Diceros bicornis minor: one gene and its partners. Each later gene encodes a partner of the first gene's protein in a complex. Links are inferred from orthologs where the notes say so. Each region holds a gene or a part of one and is shown on either strand. Other genes may lie near its edges.

Region 1 (7,968 bases):
GTCAGTTCCTAAGTTAAAATATCTTAATAGTTTCTCTCACTGAATAACTGAGCTCTTTGAAGGGTTTTAGTCACTGTGGTATATCAACCAGAGGAGGTCCTGATTAAATACTGGTTGAAGAAATGAACAATTAAAAAAGCCATTTTATTAAATGGTTTTTTTTACACTTACAGAGTCTTTAACAAACAGTGCCATCCACTGAAGAACTAAGAGGAAATAATTTTCCTGAAAAATGAATATTACAGAGCAATTGAAAAAATGAGAGTTGTTGGTTTACTCTTTCAACAAATACATATTTATCATCTATGTACCAAGCACTATACTTGGCATTGAACTATATCAAAGAGACATGGTTTGGATGTTTCTAGAGCTTATAGTCTAGAGGGAGAGATAGGGATTAAACAAGAAAACCTGCAAATAATTAAATGATCAAAAATTTTGATAAGAGCTACAAAAGAAAAAATACATAGTGAATAAAAGGGGTACCTATTTGGGATTGTGTAGTCAGGGAAGGCCTCACTAAGAAAATGACATTTAATCCGAGATATGGAAGATGGCCAGAGCGGGTAGAACTTTCCAGGCAAAAAGAGGGCACAGGATGTGTGAAAGCCTTCATGTGGAAAAGAGCTCAGTTTGTTGGAGGAACAAAAAGACCAATGTGGCTGGATTATAATGAGCAAAAAGGAAAGAGACCGATGATGTTGTCGGTGAGGTAGGTAGGCTTTTCCATAGATACTGTATTTTATTGTAAGCACAATTAAAAGCCACTGACAATGTTTTAAATAAAGGAGTAGCATACTCTGATTGTATTTTAAAAATTAAGCTCTAACAACTAAGTCAAGAATTAGCTGGAGGAGCAAAAGAATGGAAACAGAGAAATAAGCAACTATATTTGCTAAAAACAAAAATAGGAAAGTCATCAGGGCTCCTAGCTATGACTGCCTAGCTTGTATCAGAACAGTTCTCCTGCTAAGAACAACCAGAAGAGCCTGGTAAAATATTTTTTTAAATGTTTTTTTTTTGAATTTTTAACTACGGTAAAAACACATAATATAAAATTTACCCTCTTAACCATTTTTAAGTATACAGTTTAGTAGTGTTAACTATACTCATATTGTTGTGTAAGAGAGCTCTAGAGCTTTTTTTTTTTTTTGTGAGGAAGATCAGCCCTGAGCTAACATCTGCCAGTCCTCCTCTTTTTTGCTGAGGAAGACTGGCCCTGAGCTAACATCCATGCCCATCTTCCTCCACTTTATGTGGGACACCGCCACAGCATGGCCTGACAAGCGGTGCGTCTGTGCGCGCCCGGGATCCGAACCCGGGAGCGTGAGCGTGCGCACTTAACCACTACGCCACGGGGCCGGCACCATAGAGCTTTTTCATCTTGCAAAGCTGAAACTCTATACCCCACCAAACAACTTCCCATTTTCCCTCCCCTCAGCCCCTAGCAACCGCCATTCCACTTTCTTTTCCATGATTTTGACTATTCTAAATATCTCATTTAAGTGAAATCATACAGTATGTGACTGGCTTATTTCCTTCAGCATAATGTCCTCAAGGTTCATCCATGTTCGTGCATGACAGAATTTCCTTCTTTTTAAAGGCTGAAAATGTTCCATTGTATGAATATACGTTTTCTTTATCCATTTCTCTGTGGATAGACATTTGGGCTGCATCACCTCTTGGCTGCACTGAACACGGGTGTGCAAATATCTCATTGAGATCCTGCTTTCAATTCCTTTGGATATATACTCAGAAGTGGATTATATGGTAATTCTAATTTTAGTTTTTTAAGGAACCTCCATATTGTTTTCCGTAGAGGCTGCACTATTTTATATTCCCACCAGTAGTGTACAAGTGTTCCAATTTCTCCACATTCTTGCCAATACTTGTTATTTTCCGGGTTTTTTTCTTTTTTGATAGTAGGCATCCTAATGTAAGGTGATATCTCACTGTGATTTTGATTTACATTGCTCTAATGATTAGTGATATGAGCATCTTTTCATATGCTTGTTGGCCATTTGTATACCTTTTTTGGTAAAATGCCTATTCAGGTCCTTTGCCCATTTTTTTTTAATGAGATTACTTTTTTTTTTTATGGTTGAGTTGTAGGACTTCTTTGTATATTCTGAATATCGACCCCTTTATCAGATATATGACTTGCAGTTATTTCTCTCCCATTCTGTAGGTTGCCTTTCACTCTGTTGATTGTATCCTTTAATGTGCAGAACTTTTAAAGTTTGGTGTAGTCACCTTTGTCCATTTTCGCTTTTGTTGCTAAAAATATTTTTGAAGGCACTGGAGACCTAGGACAGTGAGGATTTGAGGAACTGAGATTCAGGAGAGAAGGTCCAGAGAGGTGAGCCTGACATTTGGCACCACATTTCACCTCAAAGCGTTTGCCAATTTGTAAGTGGCAAGCTGAGAATCCAAGAGGCTGAGTAGCAGAAGCAGTAGCTGAGAGGTTGAAAAGATGAGCAGAGGTTTGGCAGGACCTGTCAAGCACCCCTGCAGGGCTACACTGTAGGATTAAGATGATACGGCATAGAACAGCCCTCACAAAGATAGAAACCCAGCTTCAAATCACAACAGTCCTAGACTGGATTGAAGTAATCTGCTTCTACTCTAATAGCCTTCCAGAAGAAATAGTAATCCTCTCTGGAGGAAGGTAACATCATTCAGATCCTTAACTTATCTCTACACGTTTTCATACATAAAGAAGAGGATGTACTAAAAAATTTAGCAGGTGTATCAGGAAACAAGACCAAACGATGGAAAATCAAGAGAAAGAAAAAAAAAAAACAAAAAACAACAAAACATCAGACAACAGAAAAGAGACCCACAGGAAATCCAGATATTGCAATTATCAGAAAAGACTTCCTGTATGTAGAGGGCTGAATAATAGGCCCCCAAAGATGTCCAGGTCCTAATCCCCCAAACCTATGACTATGTTACCTTACATGTTTAAAGAGACTTTGCAGATGTGATTAAATTAAGGATCTTGAGATAGGGAGATTATTCCGGATTATCTGAGTGTGCCCAGTGTAATTACAAGGGTTCTTATAAGAGGAAGTCAGGAGAGTCAAAATCAGTAGTAGATGTGATGACAAAAGCAGGAGGTTGGAACAATGTGCAAAAGCTGAGAAAAGCAGGGAAATGGATCCTTCCCTCAGGGTCTCCAGGAGGAACCAGCCCTACCAACACCTTGATCTTAGCCCAGTGAGATTCATCTTGGAACCACTTTCTTGTCTGTTTGTCTGTTTTTTCATAATAATCTCTGCATCTAGCACAGGGCCTGCTACCTAGTGGGCACTCAAATATTTGACCTGCAGATCCATGGGCCTCAGGGAATGCTCTTCAAGAGATCTTTGACCTGTGTAGGGGAGGAAGATAATTATTCTACCCTGTAGGTCCTTCTGGCTGGTCTAAGAATTAAATTGACATGAGACAGAATAACAGGAGAAAATCAAACAAAGCTTTATAACATGTATACAAGGGAGAAACCCAGAACAGCTGAGTAACTCGCCAGAATGGCCAAAGCTGCCACCTTAAATACCATCTTCAGCTAAAGACAAAGGCGGATGTTGAGGGTAGTGGTTTGGCACTTCAAGGGGGAGGAAGGTAATTTACATGGAGATGGAAATGCAAATATGGAAAGGCAAAAATGGGCCAACTATAGACAATGTGACCTGAAAGACACATTTTACATTACACTACAGTTATCTTATGATATTAGCTCCTTCCTGGAACAGGCCCTTCTATTTTAAATTCTTATAGGCGGTTAGGGGGAAGGTCAAAGTTTCTTTCAGAGTCTTTTGTTCTTAAAAATAATCAAGCCAAAGAGGCACATTTTGGGGTGGCCATTTCTGATCTCCCACACCTGCTTTGATTAAATTATTCTTTTTGAAAGAAAAAAATTTTTGAAAAGAAAGAAAGAAATTCACTTTCTAATCACCAGCACATACTCCTTTCCAGTTCACCACTGCCCTGTTTGGTGTGATTTGAGTTCTCTTTCTATGCATTTACACGCACATATGTACATACACGTTTATATAAAATATAAACATAACCACAAATACACATTATTCTGCAACTACCTTCTGTCAGTTTCTCATGCCTCTATAAATCTATTTCATTTCTTTTAACAGCTATTTAGTATTTCATAGTACGGATGTATTAAACTTTATGTAATTATTCCCTGTTGATGGACCTTTAGATCATTTCCTATTAGTATCTATTTGAAAACGTGCAGCAATGAATATTGCCGTGCAAATATCTGTGTACACACTAGGTAACACAGATCCCTATTTGCGGAAAAGCCAGTTAGCAGGTAGGAGCATTTTAGAACACACTTAAACACCACTTCTTCTGCCCTCCCGCCTTTTTAAGAGGAGGGGTGGAGAGCCGGTGAGTGCAAGGTAAGCAGAGTAGTAAAATTCCTCGCTGGGGTCTCCTCTCGCACAGCGGTGTTTTCTCAGGAACAATCCGCACAGGACGTGCAGGACGAGAGCGCCGGGAACTCCGGTGGAGGCCACAGGGAGGGCAATGGAAACACCGGCCTCTTGCAAGAAGCGCCTGGACAGCGACTTCCTCGAGGACCACGCCTTCTGTTAAGCCCTCACCCCATTAATTTTGTCCTTTTTAGACAAGACTGAAGGAGCAACACCCCAGGTATTAAAAATGGCCTCGAGACAGCAGGGCGAAATTGCAGGTATTCGTGTGGCATGAGAAGACAAGGGGACAAGCGCAAAAGCCCAAGAAGAAACGGGAGGACACGACAAGGACCGCCGCCACCGCCCCCATGGCGGCCGCCTCCGGCCACCGCGGAGGACTCGCTTTCCCAGCGGCCCCCGCGGCAAGCAGGGGCATTCAGCGCGGCCGGCCCTCGCCAGGTGGGTGGGGCCGGGGCCGGAAGTCACGTGCTGTGACAGCCTCCGGGGTGAGGCCGCTGTCGTCGTCTGGGCTGGTTTGGACTGTGACTGTGGGACGCGCCGGGGTGATGGCGGTGGAGACTCTGTCCCCGGACTGGGAGTTCGACCGCGTTGACGACGGCTCACAGAGTAAGGGAGCGGCAGGGCCAGGGCTGCGGACGGACGCTCCCCGGCCCGCCTCAGCCCTGGCAGCGCTCCTGCGGGAGGGCTCTGCGTCGCGGTCGCTGCGCAGCCGTCCGTGTCGGGACACTTGCCGCCCCTTGGAGTGGGAGAGGCATGCGCTGTCGAGCGTGGCTTTCGGGAGTTGGAGGTCCCAGTAATGGCGGGTCAGGCTGGCCCGGTCTGGGCTCGGCGTTCGGGGCGGCGACTGTCCTGGGGAGCCTGCGGTCCCCGGGGGGCGCGGCGTCCACTTTCTGCCGCCCAGAGGGAGGCACGGGCGGGGCGCGTCCGGGGAGGCCCGGCAGCATGGGCAGCTGAGGCTGGCTCTTGTCTTGCCTCTTGGGGGCTTTCGCCGGATCCTCCAAGCGTTCAGTTCTACAAGAGGCTGAGATCCGAGTTCCTGTTTCGGTTTCCTGTTTTTCTTCTTTTCCTCCCAAAACAACTGTCGGAAGTTTGGCCGTGTTTTCCTTCTCGTTCGTATAACCGTAGAAGATAGCGAAAAAGAACTCTTCACATGATAAAAAATAAACACGTGAATGTCAATTTCTCTCCTTCCTTGCCTTTTATTTACGTTAAGTGGTATTTTTCAGGGATATCCTGTAGTTTCCATTGCAGCTAGAAAGGTTTCAAAAATGACAGCAAATCTTCTGCAAATTTTCCTTCGTAAAATCAAACTGATTTTCACTTACAAGTCCAACCAAAAGAACCTAACAAATTCAGTTCCACGCAGTAAAATTTAGAGGCCATCTAATTATTTCAGTGAGACTCTATTTAAGATTAATACAAGTTGGCAATCTGTTTCTTATCTTGATGATATTAATCTGTATAAGTGATATAAGAGATATTGGGATATACTGCTTGTGAATTTGTTTTTTTAATGCATTTTTCCCAAAAGGTGAATGTAATTTTAAAAAATTACACGTGAGTTTTGCTTAATTTTATAAAGAAAGACTCGTATACAAACTTAGATATAGTTAGGTTTTATAGCCTCTCAAAGAAGCATGAGCTTAATTCAGAATGGTTTGTAGTTTTTCACAAAACTTTCCGTGAGATATTAGCTCTTATGCAGCATAAAAGACAATCTTGGTGGTAATGACAACATTTAATTATTTTATAGAGAGGGTTCTGTGTTTACTGTTATAAAGTGAACTGCTCCTTGTCATGTATGAAGTTTTATGGACGACAGTTCTCCTACACTAGTATCTTCAGGAAATTGGCATGAAAATATGTTACTGGGTTTGAAAATGGTTCAACTTAGAGCAGAATGATCTGAGTCACTCCACGTGTTCTACATACCAGGCACTGTGCTAGGTATTAAAAGAAAAAACAAGGAATGCGTGCTGTTGGAAGAGATAAGCATGTAAACAGGTGTCTGGAATTTTACTCTAGAAGAATCACCATGTAGTTATTTCAAATCTTTTTTTTTTTTTTTTAACCAATTTTACAACTATTCATTATCTTATCAGCAAGGATAGTTTTATTATGGGTTATCTGTTGCCTACTGCTTTGTGAATTCTCAGACAACCTAAATGAGTAATTTATTGACGTGTTTTTCTAGTATTGTTAAAAACTCAATTGCTGGTTAAATGCAGCCTTGGTCGTTTCCCACGTAACTGATAATTAGACATGAACTTGGAATTCTGAGAGTCTTAGGCAGTTTTTAGTTTAAGTTGTAGGGAAGAGAAGGCTTCTCATCTCTTCTCTGTGCCTGGTTTTCATTAATTTTTGCACTATGAATCATATCTAAACTAATTGTTTTTCAAAATTGCCTAGATTAATGCTGTAATGAGATAGGAACCTTGATGAACTAAACTGATCTACCTGATTCAGAGCATTAGTTGCAAAATAATGGGGAGCTAGGTCTTTATCTTGAAGGAGTCAGAACATACTTTATCTTAGTTGCTTCACATTACTAATTTGAGGAGAGAAAAATTTTACTGTTTTTTTTGGAAGGCGAAGATTGAATAAAGTTATTCACATCAATAAAAGAAACTGAGTTGGAGTTGAATTTGCTGCCTTTGGAATAAGTAATGAATTCTTATGTATAGGGTGGAATATTTACTTTCATTAATTTTGGTGAATAGGCCTACCTTTATTGTCCAGTTTTTTCTAATGACTCTTTAGAGTCATCTCTTAATGGGTAAATTCTGTAAATATCAGCACAATATTCTGCACTCGGTGTTCTTTACTGGCTTTTCCAACTTTATGATTATAGTTAAATAATTACAATATCTCGGTAAATTTTGGGTATTACAGGAATAATATTCATTATGATGAAGCAGGTCTAAACTCATTTTAAAAACAATATTTAGGTGTATTTTTAAACGGTTTACTGTGTATAGAATTAAGAATTATGTTTTTAAGTTTTGCTTCTGTGACAACATAGCATCTATGTTCTATGACAAGATTTTTGCACCAGAATCAGGTCATGAATTTTTTTTTTTTTTTTTTGCAAAAACGTTGTTTATGACTAAAGCATAGAATCAGGACACTTGAGTTGCCTGAGGCATTATTCAGATTGTTTAAAAGCCCTAGATTATGGGGTAAATGGGATAGTGACTTTTTCATGATACTTTAAAGTTATAGTTTTAAGATGCTATCCCTGTATATGGTAACACCTACTGCTTTTAAAATTATTTTGTCTATTTGGAAAAGATTGAAACCTGAATTATTGTTTAACTTTGAAACTTTATTTTCAGGAACTCCAGACATTCCAAAGTAATATATTTAACAATGCTTAGTGTCTACTTTGCTGTGACTTTTGAGATTATTTGAAATAAATGTCCTGTAATTCATTACTTATTCTTCTCACATGCTGTTTTAAAATTTAAATTTAGAAATTCATGCTGAAGTCCAACTTAAGAATTATGGGAAATTT
Region 2 (7,734 bases), about 2.5 Mb from region 1:
ATGTCAATAACATTTGCCCACATAATACCACCTAAGAAGGTTTATCATCACTTGTCTGACAATGTTTTCCATGTAGTTTAACATACTGAATAAGCCTAATAAGTTTAGTATCTTTCTCTTTATAGGCAGAGAGCAAATTTTTTTGAGAAGTTCCAGGGCCCTTTGAAAATTCCCAAAGAAAAAAAAGTAAAAGAAAGACTTTATTTAAGATATGAATTTTGGGGAGCTTGTCAAAAATATAAAAAGTCAAAGCAAACAGAGCGTTAACAGTCTAAAAAGCCTTAGTAGAGAGACCTCAGTCTTTTGAACACAGGAAATTATTTTAACAAAACATAGATTTTCTGTCTTTTAGGTAGATTTATTCAAAGGTAAAGAAAAATCTTTTATAACCTCTTTATCAAGTTTAAGAAAATTATCCTTTTAAGAGACAGAAGACCAAATTTTAATTTTGCACCAGCTTACTTCTGCTATTAAAACTCATTTACTTAATTAAATTCATTTTAATCTTAGCCAACTAGACCATACAAAAACTCTTTTTCTAGAATTCCTCTTCTACAAACCTTCTATAACTTTCTTTTTACATTCAGAATTTGTCCCATGTCTTTTTTTTTCCTTCTAGCACTTGAGGACAAATTTATCTTTTTTAATCAATCAAACAAAATATTTTTATTCTTTGTTCTTTCTTTATACATCTTACTTTCCTTGTACACAGACATATTTTTTTTAATTTTTAGTAGCTTCAATCACACATATTAATTAGAAATTTTAACCCTTATAGACTTTGACTTCTAAGTAAAAACTAAGTAAGCAGTTATAAATTTTTTTTTTATATTAGCATTTTGTGGATTGGAAAATTTATGAACACTTTATAACTTTTAGAAATATGTTATTTTATAGTACAATCTTTTAATAAAACACATGTTTACCAATAGACCCAAAACACCTTTTAGTTTTCCTGTAATGAAAAGCCAAATGTAGACAAACGTAAGTTTAGCAATTAATGTCTAATATCTTATCTTATTTGGAAATGATCTACTCAACTGAATTTTTATCATAAAATTTAGCAAAACTCTAAAGTTTTAAGTCACCAAAAAGAGTTTGGAAGCTGTAACTACTATAACACATAATTATTGTTTAAAGTTCATCCAACATTTATCTTTTTCACAACTATTTACTTGTTCCCAATAATTATTTAGATTGCCTATAAGACTTTATAAGACATCAGATAAAATTAGCCATCATTTAAATTACTATTTTTTTTAACCAGTTCTGTAATAGAAATAACATCAGTTTTTTTCCTACAAAATTTCATGTAAATTTCATCACCTCTTATACCTTTAGACATAGTTATCATTAAGATTTTTACCAGTAGGTCTTGGTTTTCTAATTTTGGACAAGGGAAGCATTCCCAGTCAGACATTTTAAAACATACTCAGGCAAAGTTGATGTAACCTCCTTATATAAAATTAGTTCAAACATTCCAACCTTTATAATCTTATCAACACTCACACTTTTACATGTTCTCAATTCAATTGTAACCTGAGTCAAGGTCTTAAGGCTAGTCAAATTTTTCCCTTCTTTTTTCTGGCCTTTTCTTAGGTACCAAATAAATAATTATGTGAGAGCTCTCAAAACATTTTTTTTCCCCCAATTTAGAAGTTTTTTCAATTCAAAGGATCCGTCGTCTGGCCATTGACAAGTAGGATCTTCATGTGTATATTTATTCCAATAGTGACTCGAACCAATAAGCCTTTTTAAGGAAAGACCTGGAGGTAACTTTCTACGCTTAGAATAAATCTACCATGGACGCAAGAGGCATCCCTGGTGAGGGCGCAGATGATGTAGCCCCCATGATCCACAGAATTTACTCCCAAAGATATTCAGAGATAGTAAAGACCTTTGTTGCACAGGCGGTAAGGATGGTGTCTCCGGTCTCTCACAGTAGTGTGGGACGCCTCCAGTCACAGACTCGCTAATCTGTGACACGGGGCAGGCGATACTGGAATGGGATTTTTCTAGTACTAACAAGCAACAAAGGTTAAGACGACAAAAGCCCTTATGGACTGGGCCCTTTATGACAAACTCCCCTGAGAGCTTGGCACAGCCGGACAAAGAGACAGTTCGGAACCCCAGTCTACTTGACTGGCCACCAAGGTGCACTCGGGTAAATGCACCTTCTGTCTGGTGGAGACCAAGGAGAATATTCTCACTGGTCACAAAGCCAAGTTTTCTCAGGACACAGAACAAGACAGAAGGAAAAACCTCATCTGGTTTTTTTTTTTTCTTTTTTTCTTATGTACACAAAGACAGCTTTAGCCACGCCTTAGGTCTCTTGGAGCCAGAATAATACCTAGCGGGGGAGGTGCCACGGGGTTGGGGACTGTGTGCTTTACAGAGTACCTCGTCGTTGCACGGACTTTTTTTTGCAGTTGGCGGGGGACCTGTGTCATCTACCCCGTTCCGTGACCCAACTTATCCTGTCACGGGAGTCTTCTGAAAGTGGCGAGCGCCCTAATGGCTCTTAACTGCTCGACCCGTGCCCACCAAATTTGCGGCCTTTTTGGCTTCCAAGATGCCCTCGGCAATGGCCTTCACTTCATGTGCATAATAACCCACAGCAAAGTTTGTAGACGCCGGTCTGGTGAGACCCGCAAACTCACCAGTCTGTGGGGCCGGCCCGGACAGCAGGCTTGTAGGGCCTATGCCTGCGTCCTACCCTATGGTATTTCTTTCTTATGACAAAAGACACAGACAAAAGAGAAAAACAGAGACTACCTCTGGGAGGAAAAGGGATCAAGATCAAAACCAAGAGTACTCTACTAAATTTAAACCAAGAGTCACTAAAAGCACAAGAAACTAGTTTCCCAAATATTTTCTCTTGCCAATCTAAATTTAGTAAGAGAAAAAATTCTCACCATTTTTTTCCATTACACTCCGCAGATGGAGATTCCGGGAGGCTGACGTGGTAAGAAGTCTTACCTTTTGCCGGCTTTTGTCAGGCGTTCCCGTATCTCATCATCTGTAGTAGTCCAGGGAGAAGGCAGGTCTTCCAGCCAGAGAAGGCAACTTGCCAGCCAGTGTGGCTCCTGGCGACTCCGCCAAAACTGTCGGGGGAAGAGGGAGAATCTCTCTCTGCCCTTTCCCTTAAGGTTCTTATGGCTGGCCAAATAATTAACAAGACAGGTTAGCAGGAGAAAATAATACCAAGTTTAATAACATGTATACATGGGAGAAAGCAGGGACACTGCGTTTCTCAACACAATAGCAGAAATTCTCGTCTTAAATACCATGTTCAGCCAATGACAAAGGAGGATTTTGGGGTTGGGGGGAGTCAGTTCCAGGAGATTACCACTAAAGCACAGCAAACAAGAGTAAGGTTATTATGCAGCTTTAAGGCCTCAACTTCCACATTGATAAGCCTCTAGAAATGAGGCCATCCCCCTCTCTTCTCAAAACAGAGAGGGAGATACCTTTACAAATGGAGATTTCTCTTATAACTGTAAATGATTGTCTGGCAACTCCTCACAGGGTCATCCAGAGAATGTGGCCAGAGACAGAACTTCTGATAAGAGGGGCTTGTTGGTGCCTTTCCTATTGTAATCTCCATCCTACATTATCTTTACAGCCATCATGATAGATCTGTTCCAGGAAGGAGCCACCATGTCAAATTCTTTAGGCAGTTAGTGGGGGAGGTCAAATGTCCCTAGAGAAAACAACCAAGGTAAAGAGATAGATTTTAGGGTGGCCAAATCTTGATCTCCCACATTACCCAGAAAGCCAAAGTCCTTACAACCACCTACAAAGCTCTACATGATCATACCCCCACATAACTTTTAGACCTCATCTCCTTCAATTCCCTACCTTGCTTGTTCTGCTTCAGCTACACCGGCTTCCAATGTGAGATCTGGGCTAGACATATAAATGTGGGAAACTCTAGAGGTTGGAGATGATGGGAAGGAATCAGCAAATGAAACAGAAGAAGTGGCCAGAGAGATAAAAGGAAAGCCATGAAAGAGTGAATCATGTCTTTCTCTGGCTCAGAATTTTTTAACGGCTCCCATCACCTTTGCAAGTAACTTTCTAACCTTTTAGATCAGAATAATGCAGGGAAGGGGAAAGGATTGGTTAAAATGCAGATTTCTAGGCTCACGCCCAAGGGTCCTGATTGTACCAGATCCAGGGATCCCTGTCTTTAAAAAAAACAAACAAAAAGCCAAAATCGGTTTCTGTAGCATTTGACATTTTCGTTCAAGTTTTAAAGCCCTTCGGGAACAAGTCTTATCTCCCACTTCGGGGCACAAACCTCTCCAGCGCAGGAGGCTTAAACTAACTCAATCTCTGTATTCCCCACGGGGCCTAGCAGAGTATCTGGCACTTAATACGATAAAAAAAAAAAAAAAAAAAAATACGTGGTTTTTTTTTTTTGATTAACGAATGGCTTACCTATTTATATAACAGACAGCATTAAGCAGGGGTAATCTAAAACGGACTCAATTTTTACTTTTGTTTTTTGCCCCAGCTCTAACATTTTACTATCAGAACCGCAGGCTTCCGCCACGCTGCGCCCCCGCGCCTGACGTCACAATCCGGATCTAGAACTACCAATCCCAGAATGCCGTGCAAAGGGGCGGGCTCTCCGGGAGCCGCCGAGTGATTGGCGAGCGGGAGGCGTTTCCTTCCGGCGGGAAGGGCCTGCGAGGCGGGGACTAGGGGATGCCTTTGGACGCTATTACCGGAGTGGGAGGGGTTTGTGCGTGAGTCTTGGGTCTCCCGCCCGCTGAAGAGATGGACGAGGATGGGCTTCCGCTCATGGGGTCAGGCATAGACCTGACCAAGGTTTGTGAATGACGGAGCTGAACTTTTGGCGACCCGGGAGGAGGATGGGGAAGGGAAGCCAGGTTCCCAGGGGACTCCATCGCTCCATGCCACACCCTGTGGCTGGCTCCGGGCCTCTCTTCTGCCGACCTCGGGAGGGAGAGTGCCAGCCTTCACCTTGAAAAGGGATCCCTGTCAAGCTGCTTAGGGGGGGTAATGTGCCTGTCCCAGCCTTCGCTTCGTGCGTCACGAGTCTGTGCTCAAGAGTGACCCGCTGGCGACATGGGCCGGTCGCGACCTCTAACCCTACCTCTTTTATTCGGCCCCCGAGTTTTTTGTGTGTTTATGTGTGTTATCTTTACCGGCAAGTTCGTACTTGCGAATCCAGAGCCCATTCTCCAACTTTTCTAAAGCCTCTCTCATCTTCGGACACCCCACCCCCACAGTTTGGGGAAACAAGTTAATGGCTATTCACAGTGCTTCACAGAACTCATATCACACAGCAAAATGCCTCGTTATTCGTATCAAAGGGATTGCACGGTGTACATTCCTCCTGTACGAATCATATTTGTTTTTACATAATACAGGTGCCAGCTATTCAACAGAAAAGAACGGTGGCATTTCTAAACCAGTTTGTGGTGCACACTGTACAGTTCCTCAACCGCTTTTCTACAGTTTGTGAGGAGGTAGGTCCTGTGATATTGGTTTAATGAGTAGCCTAGAAATCGCCTTGCATTTTTGAAGGTGGCAAATGAGTAAAACAGTCTTTACAGTATTCACATACCATGACCTCGTCACCCAATTATGTTGACATGCCTTAAATCCTCTTGGGTTCAGTTACCATCAATCCTGCATCCCACCTCTGCTGAATTAGTTTTCTAGAGGCCATTGTGAAATAGTTCGGTAAGGCTTATTGTGATTACAGAGGACAAAAAGAATTCCAAAATTTCACAGTTGAAAACATTTTTTATTTTGAAATTTCTTATGTTTCTCTAACTCCTTAGATTTACTTTTTTTTTTTTTGCTGAGGAAGATTGGCCCTGAGCGAACATCCATGCCCGTCTTCCTCTACTTTATATGGGACGCCGCCCCAGCATGGCTTGACAAGCAGTGTGTCGGTGTGCACCAGGGATCCGAACCTGCAAACTCCAGGCCGCCAAAGTGGAGCTCAAGCTCTTAATCGTTTGCGTTATTGGGCTGGCCCCCAGATTTACATTTTTAAGTACACATTGTTTCAGTTTGTATTAAAATTATTTTACATTCCTTCATCCAAAAGATGGTTGGGGAGGTAGCCTAGGAACATAACTTTGGCATCAAATATCATGGAAATAAAAATACTTTCTGCAAATAACTTGTGAAATGAGGATTAAGTACCCAATTAAGGATTAGATACCAGATCCAGGGATCTCTGTCTTAAAAAAAAAAAAAAAAGCCAAAAAAGAGAATGGGAAGGAAAATGGGAAACATGGGTTGAAATTGAGTTTAAGAAAGGAGAATGAGGGGTAAAATTAGATAATTCACAGGTGAGCCAATTAAACAGTATTGAGTTCATTTTGTCTTGTATTTGATATAAAGTATAGCCTTGGCAAGTGGAGTTTTTGTTAGATGTGTTATTAATAAAAATTGCATGGAGACAGGAAAACTATTTTCACTTGTATAAGGTTCCAGCTTCTGTTTTTATCTAGTTATCAAAATCTCTTCTGCCTTCTCACTAAGGCAAAGGAAAGCAAAATGATAATTGATAGAGTAAGGGGCTCAATTCAATATATTTTACTTAACAGGCCCAGAGAGTAGGGGGTTGCTTCCATGAGTTTTATCTTGTACTGCTGCCTCTCTAAGTGGGATGTAGAACTGACTGACTAAAGGATTTAGTCCTTCACTTTTTATATCAGGGTAGGGTGGAGAAGTATCTGGAGAAAGACTATTCCAGGATTGTTAGCAGTGAGGAGCAAATACTCCATCCTCATGCTCTTCATCACCAGGTTAAAAAATAAAACAACAACAACCAGCAGACACACCTGTGAAAGCAACTTGATGGAGCTGCTCTGAGACAAGGATAGCCCCTCACCTTTGTGGTGCCTAACGACTTTCACTGCCTGAGGAGTGAATGCTGTTTCCTGGGGACTAGATCAAATATAATAATCGTCTCTTGTTTATTGACTGCTTGTAAATTATGAAAGCCTCGTGATTCCTTCTTTTCCCCCCTTTCTGTTCCTGTCTGAACTTCTCCCCCAACTGTTTTAACTCTATCACTATTCCCATTTCTTCCCTGAACTTTAGAGAAAAGTTTCTTGACCAAAAAACTCATGAAGTTTAAAGGTGGCTTATTGCCTTTTTCTCCTTAATGGATACTCTAGGTTGACTGTAACTCATTATTTACAGTTTTTGTTTTAGCAGTTTGGATATTTATGTCAGTTGTAGACTGCTTGGTATGATGACAATAACTAGTATTTATTGTGTGCCTAGGCATTGTACTAAGTGTTTTACATGTATTTAGTCATCACAGCCCAGCCCTCTGAGAGAAGTCCAGTTATCTCTCTTTTAGAAATGCAGAAACTGGGATGTAGAGAGGTATAAATCATTTACTCATTCGTTCATTCATTCATTCATTCAATATATATTTGAGTACATAGTATTTATAGCTGGGGTAGCTGCTGTAACTTGCCCACACTCACACAGCTAGAAAGTAGCAGAGCTAGGATTCCAACTCTGATCTGTTAACTGGAAAGAACAAAAATGTCTCACCATTCTGCTATATTGCACCTTCTGATCTGAATAAGAGGCATGTTTACATCTTTTTCAAGTGAGAGACTGCAGTGTCTTCTTTATAGCTATTTCATAATTTATTATTTAGATTCGTACTCTCTTTGCTATACTATGTCCATTTGATGTAATATCTTTTTTAATGTGATAAATTCC
Region 3 (7,386 bases), on another chromosome or scaffold:
CCGGTCTGGGCCCGGTGGTGCTGTCTAGTAACACTTTCGTGAGAAAATACAGCAAGATTTGACATGTGATGTGGTGTGTGTGTGTGTCTATGTGTAGACAGACATCCTGGAGCACTACAAATTTCCTTTCGTGTTGGAATAAACTTCACAGATCACAAAGCACTTGGACAGCCCTTCTCTGCAGCTTTCAAAAGGAGGGAGAGCAAGCACTCAACTCCAATTTATATCTGGAGCATCCGAGGCCCCCTCAGATGACCTGCCCAAGGTGCCCCAGCCTGCCACCGTCTCCTCTATGCACGCACATCTCCCCTTCCTTGATGTGTCCTGGATACCTTAAACCGCTCAGTCATTGCTCAGGTGGAGTGAGGGGTAAATGTGTTTGCAGGTTATGTTAGTCAAAAACAAAATACCATAGCCTAAGTGGCTTAAACAACATAAATAATTATTTCTCACGGTTCTGGAGGCTGGGAAGTCCAAGATCAAGGTGCCAGCCATTCGATTCCTGGTGACAACTCTCTCCTGACTTGCAGATGGCCACCTTCTCACTGTGTCCTCATGTGGTGAAGAGAAAAAATAAGCAAGCTCTTCAGTGTCGCTCCTTATAAGAGCACCAATCTCATCCACCTTCACGACCTCATCTAACCCTAATCACCTTCCAAAGACCCCTCTCCAAATACCATCACACTGGGAGGGAGGGCTTCAACGGATGAATCTTAGGGGACACAAACATGCAGTCTATAATATAGGTGGAAACCCATCTCTTCAGCACCACTGGTGGGGACCATTCGCTGCAGCCAGCGAGACAATGAAGTGTTCTTGTCAAAAAAGACAGTTCAACCTAACTCCCCCAAGAGGAGGGGCAGGGAAGGAGGACAAAACTCAAGAGTATTAGCAAGAGAGTAGGACTGCCAGATTTAGCAAATAAAAATATCAAACACCTAGTTAATTTTGAATTTCAAATAAACAATAGACAATTTTTATATATTCGATTTTTACTGAAATGCAAATTAACTTGGCATCCTGTATTTTTCTCTTGCAACCCCAAAAGAGAGGGGCTAAGAACTCTAAGCCAAGCCAAGGGATTCCAGGAGGGACTGCTGCAGGATCTCTGGAATACTTCCTTTATACATTTAAATTTTTTAGCCTTTTTTTTTTTTTTTAACTATCTAGCTTTTTTTGTGGTAACATATACATAACATAAAAGTTACCATTTTAACCATTTTTAAGTGTAGAGTTCACGGCGTTATGTACATTCACCTTGCTGTGCAACCACCACCACCAATCTCCAGAACTTTCCGTCATCCCAAACTGACATGTCAAAGAAAACCAGAGCTGGACAGTAAAGAGGTTAAAGCTGATTTAACTCAGGACTTTGCAACAGAGGAAAAGAGATCTCCGTGTAGACCTGGGGTCAGTTCCGAATACAGAATGGACAAATGAAGATTTATAGCGGGGGGGGGGGGGGGGGGGGTTGTCCGTGGATAGAAATTGCTAAGAGCGTGGGTGATTTTCTGCTAAACTGACCCAACAGGATTCTTGCTGAAGGCAAGAGGATGTTAGAGGATGAGGAATTTGGTCAGATACGGAGGGTGACCTGATACAGACGGTGGGGCATTCCCATTTAGGATTCTCGGGATGCAGGCGGAGGCCTAGCCGGGAAGAGGCTCCGGAGGAGCGGACTAAACTCTGACCCATCCGACATAACTCCCTCCCTCGCTTTGCTCCCCCTCCCTGGGAACCACACCACTCTGCTCACCGCCTCTGTGAACGGGACTACTCCAGGTACCTTGCGCAAGTGGAGCCGTACAGTATTAGTCCTTCCGTGTCTGGCTTATATCTTTAATTTTAAAGGGGGGCGGGAACTAAGTGGACTCTGTGGGGACAACTGCCCACAGAGGCCAGGACAAGAAAGAAAGGGTGTATTATTCAGCTGAAAGATGTATTAATTCAGCGAAGTCTGTACAGCTGGAGGGAAGGGGGCGGTTCCCGGGCCTGTGCGGGGGTCGTGCCCCAGGCGCCCTGCGGGACAGGCGAGGGCGTCCCTGGAGAGCGGGCCGCAGCGAGGGCACAGAGGCGTGGGGGGGCGGCAGCGGCCTGGCGCTCGGCCTACAAGGGACGGTGCCGTGTGCACCGCGGAGGCTCGGAGGGGATTCGGCGCAGGGGTCTGCGACTCGGCGGCGGTCGCGGGCCAGAGCTCGGGGCCCCGCGAGCGCCCGGGAGGCGGAGCCCGGCCGGCGGCGGCGCCAGGATCCGGCGGCGCGGGCGGGGCGGCAGCGGGCGGCGGCGGCGGCGAGCAGGTGAGCGCGGCGCGGAGGCCCCCGAGGGCCGGGGAGGGCCGGGGCGCGGGCGGGGGCGCGCGGCGGGCCCGGGGCGCGGGCGGGGGCTGAGCGGGGCGGCCACAGCGCGGGGCCCGCGGGGCCCGCGGAGCCTGCGCCCGGCCTCCCCGCCGTCTCTGCCGCCCGCCGGGAAGCGGCGCCGGGCCTCTGCCCGCCAGGGAGACGGGCCTCCACCCCCGCAGCTCCCGGCCTTTCCTCCCCGTGCGCCCAGCCCTTCCCCCGGCGCCGTCCTTCCGCCGGAGCGAGGCCGAGGCCCGGGCGCAGGGAGGGCCCTGCCGGGACAGCAGACTCGGGTCCCCAGGCCCCCGCCCGCCGCTTCCTCTCGGCCCGCCGGCCCCGTGACCCTCACGTGACCTGACACCCTCTGAGCTCTTGGGCTTAGGAACAGGGCAGAACGGAAGGCTCGAACCCTTCTTCTGCAGCTCCCATCCCTCCCTGGTCTCTCTTAGATGACCCCACTGCTTTAACCGTGCTTGGTTCCTGACTGCCCCGGCAGAGCTTCTAACGCGGGGTGTAGACCCTGGGAGCGGGGCGTCGGGGACGCGGTGCAGGAAGGGTGTCGTGCACTTCCGAGGTCACGGGCAGCGTTGTGAGAGGCGGGGGTGGTGTGTGTGCAGTTTCCTGGAAGAGTCCTTGTTTTTACCAGCTTCTCTCAGGTGGCGCCGTCCAATAGGAATATTATGCGAGTCACATATGTGATTTTAAAAGTGAAAAGAAACAGGTCAAATTAATTTAGTAATATATTTTATTTAACCCAATATGTCTAAAATTTGGTTGTTTCAGCATGTAATCAATATAAATAAATTTAATATTTTATGTTCTTTTTTCCTACGAAGTCTTTGAAATTCGGTGTGTGTTTTCCATTTACACTGCATCCCGTTGGGACTGTCCACATGTCCAGTGCTCCGCAGCCGAGTGTAGCTAGTGGCTGCGTGCTGGATGGCTAGGTCTAAGGATTTCACTCCTGGCCCACAGGCTGGAGTCCAAACTCATGGCCGTGGTATTCAGGGTTTTACACAATCTGGCCTCATTATCTTTTTTTTTTCTCCCACTTTCACGAGGATGGTTATACCCTCACCACCCAAAAACACTTGCCATTTCCCTGCACACCTTTGTTCAAGCTGTTCCTTCTACCTGGAATTCTCTCTCTACACTCTCTCCCTGAGCCTGGGAGGGAGGGACAGCTTCTGCTAAGAGGCTTTTCCTGACTCCCCTAACCCGGGAAGGGATTTATCCCTCCTTCCTCATTGTTCCCCTGTGCTGTACTCATGGCTGGATTAGAGCCCTTATCACAGGGCGTTTGTTTTCGAGGCTGTGTCCATGGCCTGTGTAGTGTCCCTTTATCTTTGTTTTGATCGTGGCTGGCACCTAATAGTTGATGAGTAGATGTGTGCAGACAGAATGAGTAAATCACTAAGCAGCTGTGCTCAGTCTCTTAATTTTCAAACGGACCTGCTACTTTCTTGTTTAGGAGCTTTGTGCCTGTTGTTCCCCTTGTGCATGTACACACACACACACACAGATGTAGTAACTAACCATAAGGAAGGCATCTCAAGGTGTGCACAGAAGAGTATCTTCTAGCTTTTACCCCCTCTCTATCTTAGAGACGGGAAAACTGAGGTACAGAACTAAGGACAGCCAGCAAATTTGCATCAATATAAATACAAAGAAAGGGAGCATTCTTGAAAGGAGTATGTGGTCTCAGAGGGTCAGGTCCCTCAGATGGTTAGTGATCAGCTGGCCCACTTTGGTCACTTGATAGGAGGGAAGAGAAGTGGAGAGGTGAGGAGTTCCTCCTGGACCCTGATGAGGATTTTAGGCAGGTTCAGGTCTGGAAAGCTGAGGGTGTCATTGCTGGAGGAAAAAGTCAAAAAGCAGAACTGTCATCTCAGATCAGGAAAAGTGCTGGCCTGGGAAGAGTAGGAGAGAGCGAGGGTAGGGTAGAAGGACGGGCAAGGAGAAGCTAGCAGAGGGAGCAAAGGAGTAAGCCCCAGCTTGGTGAAGGTACTGGTGTGACACATTGGCAATAACCACTTCTTAGAGAGCAGTGCCATTCTCAGTCTGTAGAATGGGAAATGGAAAGAATCAGAGCTTCAGAGAAGGCAAGTGACTTACCCAAGGTCACACAGTGCTTTAAGCCCAAATGAAAACTCATAAGCCCTCCTTTGCCACACTTACCCAGCCCCACTCACACGTCTATTACAACCAGGGGCCCCAACATGGTGCCTGGAAGAACAGGTCTGGGGCACAGGGCCGGGCCTGATTAATGTCTTCCTCGCTGTCTTCTACCAAGGGGCTCTGATTAGGCCTATTTATAGGGGCCTGGCACCTTAACATTCTGCCTGGTGCGTCTCTTGCCAGTCAAATCAGTGCCATCTGCAGTGATTGCTGCTTTAGTGGCAACAGGGAGCGGAGTTAATTAAACCCAGTATAAATAGACTGTGCCCTCATCTAGAAATTCAAAGGAGTGTTTTTTCTTCCTGTCCTCTGCCCCCACAGGCCCCTTCTTCCTCCTGGCCCCCCTTGGCTCTAGCCTGGGTGAGCAGAGCCGGACGCTCCTATACCTAGAGTCACCAGCCACGGCCTGTCCTAACACAGGAACAGGCCAAAGTGAGAACCACCCAGGAGTCCACATGTTCTGTGCTTTTCCAGAGCCGGGTACCATTTGGAAGTTGAGGCAGGCAATTTTTTCCCCATGTCCAACCCTCTGCTTCCAGCCTCTTTTTCACTGTGCAGCCAGGGTTTCTTTCTTGCTCACCCGGGCTTGGGAGGTTGAAATGAGATCACACACAGAAATGGTACCATGCGCCTTAGGGCGGTCAGTCCATGTTGCACCTTCTCTGAACGCTTCTCGTCAGTCTCTGCTGTCCCTACCAGTTTTCCTCCCTCATTCACGCAACAAGCACCAACAGACTACCTGCCCTGTGAGCTCCTGGCCTCCCACCAAATGCTCTGTCCCCCACTCTCCCGCTGCACGGGCCGAACCTGCGGCAGACGGTTAGGGCGAGGGGCTGTGCTCTCTTCTCCCGGTACCTTGCCCTGTGGTGGGTGGGTGTGGGTGAGTGTGGGGCAGTCCTGATGCTCCCGTTCCCACCCACAGGCACCATGACTCCCATGATGACCCAGCACTCGTTGGCAGGTCAGACCTATGCGGTGCCCCTCATCCAGCCGGACCTGCGGCGAGAGGAGGCCATCCAGCAGGTGGCGGATGCCCTGCAGTACCTACAGAAGGTGTCTGGAGACATCTTCAGCAGGTGGGTGCTGCCACCCACCTTCACCGATCGGAGGGCCGCCCCTGCCTGGGCAGCCATCTCTCCATTCCCAGGAATGCCCCCTCTAGGAACAGCCCTTTGGGTGATTCTCGGTCCTAGGGGACCCAGCTGGCTTCCCTGTGCCCAAGGGGCGCCCAGCTTAGAACTTTGTCTCGTAAGAGCTCACTACCTACTGCACCACTTAGCCCCCTGGCTTCCCTGCAGATCCCCAGGCCCCATGGGGGTACTCCTCTCCCAGCTCATACTCTTTCTCCCAGTGGGGGCCCTGTTCCTTCACTTATTCCCCTGCCAGCAAACACTTATTCAGCACTTCCTGTGTGCCAGGCACTGTGCTCGCCTCTGTAGTCACAGCAGTGGATACGGCCACATCCTGTCCTGCCTGAGGATGGACCCTGGCAGGAGAGACAGACTCTGTCCAGTCAACTTCATGTTAGTCATTGAATTACAGCTGTGATAAGACGGATTTATAATAATTTTGTGATAACTAATATTTATATAGCATTGACTGTGTGCCCCCAATGATCGGAGTGCATTAACTCATTTAACCCTCACAACAACTACGAGGAGATGCTGTTGTTATGTCCATTTTATGGATGAGGAAGCTGAGGCACAGAAAGGCTAAGAGACCAGCCCGGGGGCAGAGCCAGGGGTCACACCCGGGTGTCGTGGCTCCCGAGTCTGGAATTATTACTGCCTCTCTGTAGAAGACAGTTGTCAACGGGGCGCCTGACCTGGCATGGGGGGTCAGGGAAGGCATATATGGAGAAAACATGTATGGTAAAATCTGAAGGGTAGGTGGGAGTTACTGTGAGTGGGTAGGTTCCAGAAAGAAAGTGAGGCATGAGGTAAAGCCCTGAGGTGGGAAGGACCTGAATGGCAGCCAGTGTGGCTGGAGCGAGGAGGGGCTGAGGGGGTGCGTGAAGCTGGTGAGGTGGGCAGGGCCTTAGAGGTTATGGCCAGTCTTGAGCAGAGTGGCAGCGTTTTGTGTCACCAGCACTGATCTAGCACAGTCCTTGGGCTATAATGATTTTTCATTCCATGTTTATTTTATTTTATTTATTTTTGTGAGGAAGATCAGCCCTGAGCTAACATCCGTGCTAATCCTCCTCTTTTTGCTGAGGAAGACCGGCTCTGAGCTAACATCTATTGCCAGTCCTCCTCCTTTTTCCCCCCAAAGCCCCAGTAGATAGTTGTATGTCATAGTTGCACATCCTTCTAGTTGCTGTATGTGGGACGCGGCCTCAGCATGGCCGGAGAAGCGGTGTGTCAGTGTGCGCCCGGGATCCGAACCCCGGGCCGCCAGTAGCAGAGCGCGTGCATTCAACCGCTAAGTCAGGGGCCGGCCCCCTGTTTATTTAATATGAATGAATGGTGTTGCTGTTTCCTTGCAAAGGTCCCGCATTTTGTCCTGTATACAGGTCCATAAGCAACCTGAGATGGGGCTTAGAGCTTCTCCTTGCTGGGGGCCCACGCCATGCCTCACCAGGGGTCTTTTATCCCACCCAGTGGGAAGCATTTGACTGCCTGACTGAGGTCCCTCTCATGTGTGGCCTAAGTCACCCCCACCCTCCCCTTCCTGTACCGAGATCAGGAATGCTTCATGCAGTCTCCTCCTTCACCAGTCGTTCGTCCACCTCTTCCTGGAAGCCTTCCCCAATGGGAGTAGAACGCAGGGTCACTGTCTCCAGTTGAACTCGGTACAAACACTAGATCCTCTGACTCTTCTGCCTCTGACCTGCCCACCAACACACCTGCCTGCCTTAGCCTCTGCAGAATGT
Region 4 (7,283 bases), on another chromosome or scaffold:
GATTAGATTGCAAAAAGACTGACTTCTGGCTTGGCCACCCTCTCTAGCTTGTTTGTCGTGGGGGAAGCAAGTTGTCACATTGTGAGAGAGCCATGGAGGAGCCCATGTGATAAGGGATGGAGAAGCTTGCCAACAACCACTGGAGTAAGCTTGAAAATGGATCCCCAAAACCTCAGTTGAGATTTCAGATAAGAGAACAGCTCCTGTTCACAGCTTGACTGCAACCTCTCAAGAGACCCTGAGCCAAAGGCACCTAGCTAAGCTATACCCCTGATTTCTAACCACAGAAACTATAAGATAATAGATGTTTATTAAGCCACTAGGTTTTGGGGTAGTTTGTTATTTTACAATAGATAATGATCTTGGAGAAAGGCATTCCAGGCAGAGGTTACAAGTAAGTGCAAAGGCCGACATGTGCCAGATGCACTTAAGGAATAGCAAAGAGGCTGATATGGCTGCTGTAGAGTGAGCAAGGGATAGAAGCAGAGATCAGGGAAGGTGGATGGGGTTGGGTCTGATTGTGACTGAGAAGCCACTACAGTTGTCTAGAACTCTCTCTCATGAGGGTATCCTATAAGACACATTAAGGCATAAAATATTAACAATTCTTTTTAGTTTTCTCTGTGATGCTTGCTTGTTAAGCCACATTGATCTCTAACAGGCTAAATTTCAGATAATTTCATACCATTTTTTTTGCACTAATATGGTCTGGCTTGGAAAATGAGAGAGGAAAAGGGGAAAAATAATAAACAATGGGCAAAAGAGTCACCTACTGAGGTCCTCTGAAGAATACTAAACCAACCCAGGTCTCAGCGGGATGAAACCCTAGACTCAATTGAGAGGAGGGTAAGGTATGATTAACAGGTCTAACTGCTACCAGATTTTGGACACCAGTATAGGACAGACAATGAGGCCATGGAGAAAACAGCTCAAAGCAAAGCAACATTACCTGCTTTCTTTCCCAACAAACAGATGGACAGATGTACTCAGCATCTGCATACACACGGTCAGGGAAGCTTAGACCTGAGATAATGACATTAGTCAAGACTTTGGTGTATCCATCTCTTAGTTTAATCCTTAAATCCTTACTCCAGAGTTACATTGTAGGCAACTTCCAAAATATTATCTGACTAGAGTATTTGGTAAACAGCCCCACTGTTGGCTGAAAAACTGGCCCTAAAGAACAAAATCTAAGAACCATCATTAGAGATGCCTAATCATGTTGCAGCCCTCTCAGAGGTAGGTGGCTTCATAGAAGGTGTTAAGACTTAGCTGAGCTTTAAAAAAATCACTCTAAAATGAGGTGCAAATAAACACTGTAGAAGAAGCTATATTAAATCTTCCTCTTAGAGGTTCTCTTGGTGCTAGGGACGAAGAAAATTCATAAAGACCAATTTTCTCAGTATAGACTGTATCACTATTTGGCATAAAATGAAGCCAGAGACCAAACTCAATTTCCTAATTTTCTTTTACAAGGTACCCAGAAAGGTGGTCATAACTTTATTTTCAAGAATTTGGTAAGGAATTGTAGTTTTCAGTTTGGAAAGTAATCCTGGACAAAGGACAATATGCTTTCAAGAATGAAGCACCCGGCAGTGGCTTAGTGGTTAAGTGCGCGTGCTCCGCTACTGGTGGCCGGGGGTTGGGATCCCAGGCGCGCACGGACGCACGGCTTCCCTGGCCATGCTGAGGCCGCATCCCACATACAGCAACTAGAAGGATGTGCAACTATGACATACAACTATCTACTGGGGCTTTGGGGATAAAAAGGAGGAGGATTGGCAATAAATGTTAGCTCAGAGCCAGTCTTCCTCAGCAAAAAGTGGAGGATTAGCATGGATGTTAGCTCAGGGCTGATCTTCCTCACAAAAAAGAAAAAAAAGAAAAAAAAGAATGCAGCACGGGATCATCACACCAATTACCCAATGAGTACAGAACCAAATTCTGAAGGAAATAAGTTGTCCTAGGACAAAGCACTGTTTACCCTACTCAGAGGTCAAAAGAAGATAGGTCTATTTTTATCCTTTCATAAAACCTCAGTTCCATAAAGAAGGAAGCACTGGCCTCCACAAATCCATTATCAGGAACAAAATATGATGATTGTTGATCAAGATAAAAGTGACCAACATATCTTTTCCAGAAAAGTTCTGAAATGAGTCTGATCACTATCAGCTGATTCATGAGGAAAAACAGAAGAAAAACCGGAAAGTGTCCTTGTTGGGGGCAGAGGCAGTAAAACCGCTCTCTCCCACCCCCTCACCCCCGTTACCTACATTGGAGGGAGCTCCCTGCACTTGGAATCAGGAGACCCTATTCCATTATGGCCTCTGTGAGGTGTGTTTTTTTTCTTTTTACTGTGAGACCATAGTGAAATCTGGACCCTCGGAACGTTTTTTCGAAATGCAAAGGACTTTGGCACCAGCATGTCACAGGTGGGGGAATTAAGGTGCAGAGAGGAGCAATGACTTGCCTAAACTCACAGCCCATGGCAGAACTAGAATTCAAACCCAGGTCCCTCACACTGTAAAAGCGCTCACTAACCACTCCGATTTCTCGCGAGTAAAGAGAGGAATAACGACGTCCACACAGCATTGCTTCCGAAAACTTGGAAGGCTCAGATGCGGGTCAAGCAGCTGAACATCACTTCCTAAAGCGCCACAGCGGCGTGGAAAATTATTTCCATCTAAGTGGAGATGAAGAGGCTGGGCTGCAGCCCCAGCCCCAGGAAGCCCCTCAGTCCTCCACGCCAGGCTCCCCCATCCAGACCCCACTCCACGCGCAGATGCCCGCGGGACCAGCGCGGCCCAGCCCCGGGACGGGGGAGGGGAGGGGGGCCGTGAAAGGAGGGGGCACGCGCGCCCCGCCCGGACTCACCTGTCACCCGGGCCGCGCCAGGGCGCACGCGCGGGGCCGGCGATCGTGCGCGGAGTCAGCGCCGGAGTCCCCGACCCTTCCCTCTCCGCTGGGGTCTTCTACCTCCAGCCCCGGATCGCAAGCCGGCCAGAACCCGGCTTCCGCCCCTGGCTCCCGGGGCCATCACATGACCACAGGGGAGGAGAGCAGAGCGGGGTGTCATGTGACCACTCGCGGGCAACGGCTGATGACGTCGGAGCCCGCGCTCGCAGTTTCAGCGACGGGGCAGGGAGTTAAGGAAGGAGTGGGGGTCCGGGTGTGGGGAGTCGGGGTGCAGCCAGACGGAGCTAGGTCGGGCAGCCAGGTAAGGCAGAGGCGGGGGCTGGCGATGGGGAGGGCGGCGGGAGGTGTCGCCTCCCTCTCGGGCGCTCCGCGGGTGCCTTGACCTGGGGTCTGTCGACCTGGGTTATGGTCCTGGTTCTTTTCACGCCAGAGCAGTGAGGCTGGGACAGTTCACCTCCCTCTCCGAGACGCCATCTGCCCATCCTTCAGCCCTAAACGTGTGGGGAAAAGATGACGAATTCTTGATCCAAATAAATCTGGTTTGGACTGTCTTTAAAAGCAGGGCCTTGGGCGTGTCGTTTAAATAAACTCTCTGGGCCTCCGTTTCCTTTTCTCGTATGTAAATGGCTGTGAGGATTAGCGACAATGAGAATGAAGCCCGGGGGCACCGGTTTATGGCACACCGTGGGAGATCTGGAAATGGTGGTTGCTGTTATTGTTGTGACTCTGGCCAGATCTTGACTGATCGTCTATTTTGTGTCAGGAGCTGTTTCAAATGCTGTAGAATATGTCCGAGTTCTAGTTTAAGTTGCTCCCAGGGTGAAGGAGTGGCAGACATGTGAGCAAAGAGTTGTGATGAGTTTTATTGAGTTTTTTAATAGAAGTGTGTGCGTGAGAGAGAAGGAGAGAGAGAGGGAGAGAGGAATAGTGGCAGCATAAGGGAGGGAACAAGCAATTGCTTATATAGATAAGGGAAGGCTTCATCAAGAAACATGTGTTCCTGCATCTTGAAAAAGGAGCTACAGCTCTGGCTGAACTTGTACGGACTCCCATGCCCACCAAGGAGGTGGGCATAGTGCCTATAAATTGGTTGCTCTGTGCCTACCACTGTGCTGTACAGACAGAGAAGAGGAGGGAACAGTAGAGAAGAAATGGTATTAGCCAATAATGGGTCCTGCCTGCAGAGAATCTTATAGACCTGCTATGGTCTGAATGTGTGTGCGCCTCCAATTCAGATGTTGAATCCTAATGCCAGTGTGATGGTATTAGGAGGCGGGGCCTTTGGGAGGTGCTTAGGTCATGAGGGTTGAGCTCTTGGGAATGGGATTAGTGCTTTTATGAAAGAGGCTGCAGAGAGCTCCCTTGATCCTTCTACCAAGTGAAGGCAAAGAGCAGAAGGCATGGGCTGTGAACCCATGCCTTGATCTTGGACTTATAGCCTTTAGATCTGTGAGAAACAGATTTCTGTTGTTTAAAAGCCACCCAGACTGTGGTATTTTATTACTGCAGCCTGGATGGCATAAGGCAAGGCCTGTTTACGGGAGGCAAAATAACATGCTAGGGAAAAACTGGGGAAATGCATAACCTTGTTTTAAACTTTGTTGGAGACCATAGGTACAGGGAACAAAAAGATCATTGATTGCCACCTGGGAAGGCTCCAAGAGGAGGCTGATTTAAACCAGAGTTTCTCAACTACTGCACTATTGATATTTCGGACCACATAATTCTTTGTTGTGAGGGCTGTCCTGTGACTTATGTACTTAGCTGTACTTTGTGGGAGAAATAGGGAAAAGTGTGTCTACTCCATCTTTGTGCCCCATCCATTCTCTTTGCTTCTTATCTGAATCGTTTCCGTTGATATACTCACAGAAGGCAGTGACCGTGTGTTCCCTAGCTCTCTGCAAGTATAAAGTTTCATTGGAGTAATGTGAATTATGAATTCAGATAATAAGGATAGCTACCATGTGGTAGACACTTTCCATTTATCCCAGATTGTATTAATCCTTGTGTACGTTGTGTCTTAGTCAGCTTGGGGAGAGACACAATCAGAGACACAAGATGAGATTTATGTGCTGGGCGTTGTTCTTAGTGTGTTGTTATCTATATTAACTCATTCAATCCTCACAGTAATCCTTGTGGTAGCCACTGGATCATCCTCCTTTTACAGAAGGGAGAAGTGAAGCGTTGAGAGGTTAGATAATTTGCCTAAAGTCTTTCAGCTACTTAAGTGGCAAAATCAGGCTTTGAACTCGGGTACTCTGGCTTCAGAGGCTGGGTGTTTAACCCCTACTCTGTATTGCCTTCATATTCTGCTCTGTAATGTAGCTAATGATGGTTCATGTTATCTTTAGGTAAAATTGATATTCCAGGAAACATATCCTGTTTATTCTGTGGCTTTGCCCCTTCTTGCTTACCCCATGGTTCATATATATGGTATACTTGGATAATTGTGTCTCTAGAACCGTGCTGACTAGTGCAGTAGCCACTAGGCACATGTGGCTATTCAGATTTAAATTGGTTAAAATTAAATAAAATTTAAAACTCAGTTCCTCAGTCATGATAACCACGTGTCTAGTGCCCTAGACAATTTAGACTTAAACTGGAATCAAGACTGACTAGAAAACTGAATACTTGAACCATATGATTTGATTCTTGCAGGATTGTGTTTTTTTGAGTAACAGTTGGTGCTGTAACAGGTAAGCCCCAAAACCTAAACGGCTTTGCACAATTGAAGTTTTTATTTCTTTCATGCGTGGAGCCTGATTGGCGGGCAGTTTTCCGCCAAGCAGTGATATAGGAACTAGGGATTCTCCATCTTCAGTATAGAGCATCTAAGGTCACTGTGCTTGCCTGTTCAAGCTATCAAATGGGAAAGAGTGTGGAGAAAGTTTATATAGACTGGGCCTGGAAATGGCTCATATTTCATTGCCTTGAATTCAGTCATATGGCCATAGCTAACTGCAAGGAAGGCTGCAAACTGTGGTCTAGCTGTATAACCAGATTGAAGAGGAAATGGGTTTGGTGGGCACCGAGCTGGTATCTACCCCAAGTGTCCTGTCTTTAGCTTACCCTGAGGAATAACCTAAGAAACAGTCCTAGGAAGCTCACTGTTGCATTTATTGTAAGGATATTATTGAGAATATTTTTCAGTATGAGTTTTATTGTCTTATATATGATGGTCCACACTGCCTTGATTGCCATGGAAAGCCTTATTTTTCCCAAGTTCCTGATGTACTTTTTCTTTATGGGGAAAGAGGATTCTGTAGCTTTCACTTTTTGCTTTGATTGTCAGGAAGCTCATAGCCAAATTTGTATTACACATGTAGTAAAAATTTTCTTCTTTACCTGTTTTCCCCTTTAGTTTGTTTTCCATCCTGATTTTCATGCATTTATATTATATATTTCCCATCTTACTGCATATATTTGTATTTATATTGTGTTAACTGTCTCAGCTTGTTTGGTGTAATAATGTGAGACTGTAAATAAATACTCTTTCACCAAAATGCAGATGTTCAAAAATCATCAATGGTTTCTCATTTGTATTCATAGTCATATTTTTTCTCTCTCTTTTGGTGTGGAATTTTAACATCACAGAAGGTCCCAGAAAATAACATAATGAGAACCCTGTTCTATCATCCGGATTTTAATATCTATAACATTTTGCCATGTTTGTTTCAGTTCTTGATTTTTAAGATAAATTTTTAAAAAACAGATAAAGCTAAAAGTCCCATTGACTGCCCCCCTGGACCCAACTGGACCGATTCTTTATCCTGCACTTAAGACCCTCTACGTTATGCTCCAAAACATTACTTACTGAATATTTGTTAACTGAATGATTTGAATTGAAGAAGAGTTGTATTGTGGATGTTTGTAATAGACTAAAACCTCAAAAATAGAGATCAGCATCATGGGCATCTTTTCTATGCCCTTCCCTTTGTATACCCTGTGTCTTTTTTAGAGTCTAATGATTGACATGGTAAGGCACTCAATACCTATTTGTTGAATGAATGAATGAATGAATCTAATTGAAAAGGGCCAATAGTTAAGAAACTACTGTAGTACTCCAGGTGTGAGATAAAAGTGGTGGCAATGGAGAGGATGGAAATGCCAGAGATACTAGACAGTTTCCCATGTTAGAAAGGAAGGGCAGGAGGGCAAGTCCATGCTAATTAATTGTGTACTGTGTGCTGGACCACATTGTGATATTCCTTCTCATTTTAGAGACAGTAAACCTGAGGTTCAGAGAGGTTTATGCAATCAGCCCATGGTCACTCAGTAGTAAAGTGACAGAGCCTGAATTCGTGCTCTGTCTATATGATTCTAAGAAAATACCTTCTTTCTGCTACCATACAGCTTTCCCATCCCTC

Evidence for each region.
Region 2: WASHC4 (region 1) and WASHC3 share a complex: the UniProt entries of both Homo sapiens proteins name them as parts of the WASH core complex. The link is inferred for Diceros bicornis minor from reciprocal best matches to the Homo sapiens genes WASHC4 and WASHC3.
Region 3: WASHC4 (region 1) and WASHC1 share a complex: the UniProt entries of both Homo sapiens proteins name them as parts of the WASH core complex. The link is inferred for Diceros bicornis minor from reciprocal best matches to the Homo sapiens genes WASHC4 and WASHC1.
Region 4: WASHC4 (region 1) and WASHC5 share a complex: the UniProt entries of both Homo sapiens proteins name them as parts of the WASH core complex. The link is inferred for Diceros bicornis minor from reciprocal best matches to the Homo sapiens genes WASHC4 and WASHC5.

The regions. Positions count from the first base shown.
Region 1 is NC_080764.1:18,841,502-18,849,469, reverse strand, and holds the start of WASHC4 (WASH complex subunit 4), read left to right. Parts: upstream 1-4,951; 5' UTR 4,952-4,999; coding exon 5,000-5,060; intron 5,061-7,927; coding exon 7,928-7,968. UniProt on the Homo sapiens protein: Acts as a component of the WASH core complex that functions as a nucleation-promoting factor (NPF) at the surface of endosomes, where it recruits and activates the Arp2/3 complex to induce actin polymerization, playing a key role in the fission of tubules that serve as transport intermediates during endosome sorting.
Region 2 is NC_080764.1:21,323,035-21,330,768, forward strand, and holds the start of WASHC3 (WASH complex subunit 3), read left to right. Parts: upstream 1-4,729; 5' UTR 4,730-4,785; coding exon 4,786-4,836; intron 4,837-5,402; coding exon 5,403-5,501; intron 5,502-7,734. UniProt on the Homo sapiens protein: Acts as a component of the WASH core complex that functions as a nucleation-promoting factor (NPF) at the surface of endosomes, where it recruits and activates the Arp2/3 complex to induce actin polymerization, playing a key role in the fission of tubules that serve as transport intermediates during endosome sorting.
Region 3 is NC_080756.1:58,683,326-58,690,711, reverse strand, and holds the start of WASHC1 (WASH complex subunit 1), read left to right. Parts: upstream 1-4,368; 5' UTR 4,369-4,969; coding exon 4,970-4,994; intron 4,995-5,436; coding exon 5,437-5,590; intron 5,591-7,386. UniProt on the Homo sapiens protein: Acts as a component of the WASH core complex that functions as a nucleation-promoting factor (NPF) at the surface of endosomes, where it recruits and activates the Arp2/3 complex to induce actin polymerization, playing a key role in the fission of tubules that serve as transport intermediates during endosome sorting.
Region 4 is NC_080760.1:40,396,438-40,403,720, forward strand, and holds the start of WASHC5 (WASH complex subunit 5), read right to left. Parts: upstream 3,011-7,283; 5' UTR 2,875-3,010; intron 1,024-2,874; 5' UTR 950-1,023; intron 1-949. UniProt on the Homo sapiens protein: Acts as a component of the WASH core complex that functions as a nucleation-promoting factor (NPF) at the surface of endosomes, where it recruits and activates the Arp2/3 complex to induce actin polymerization, playing a key role in the fission of tubules that serve as transport intermediates during endosome sorting.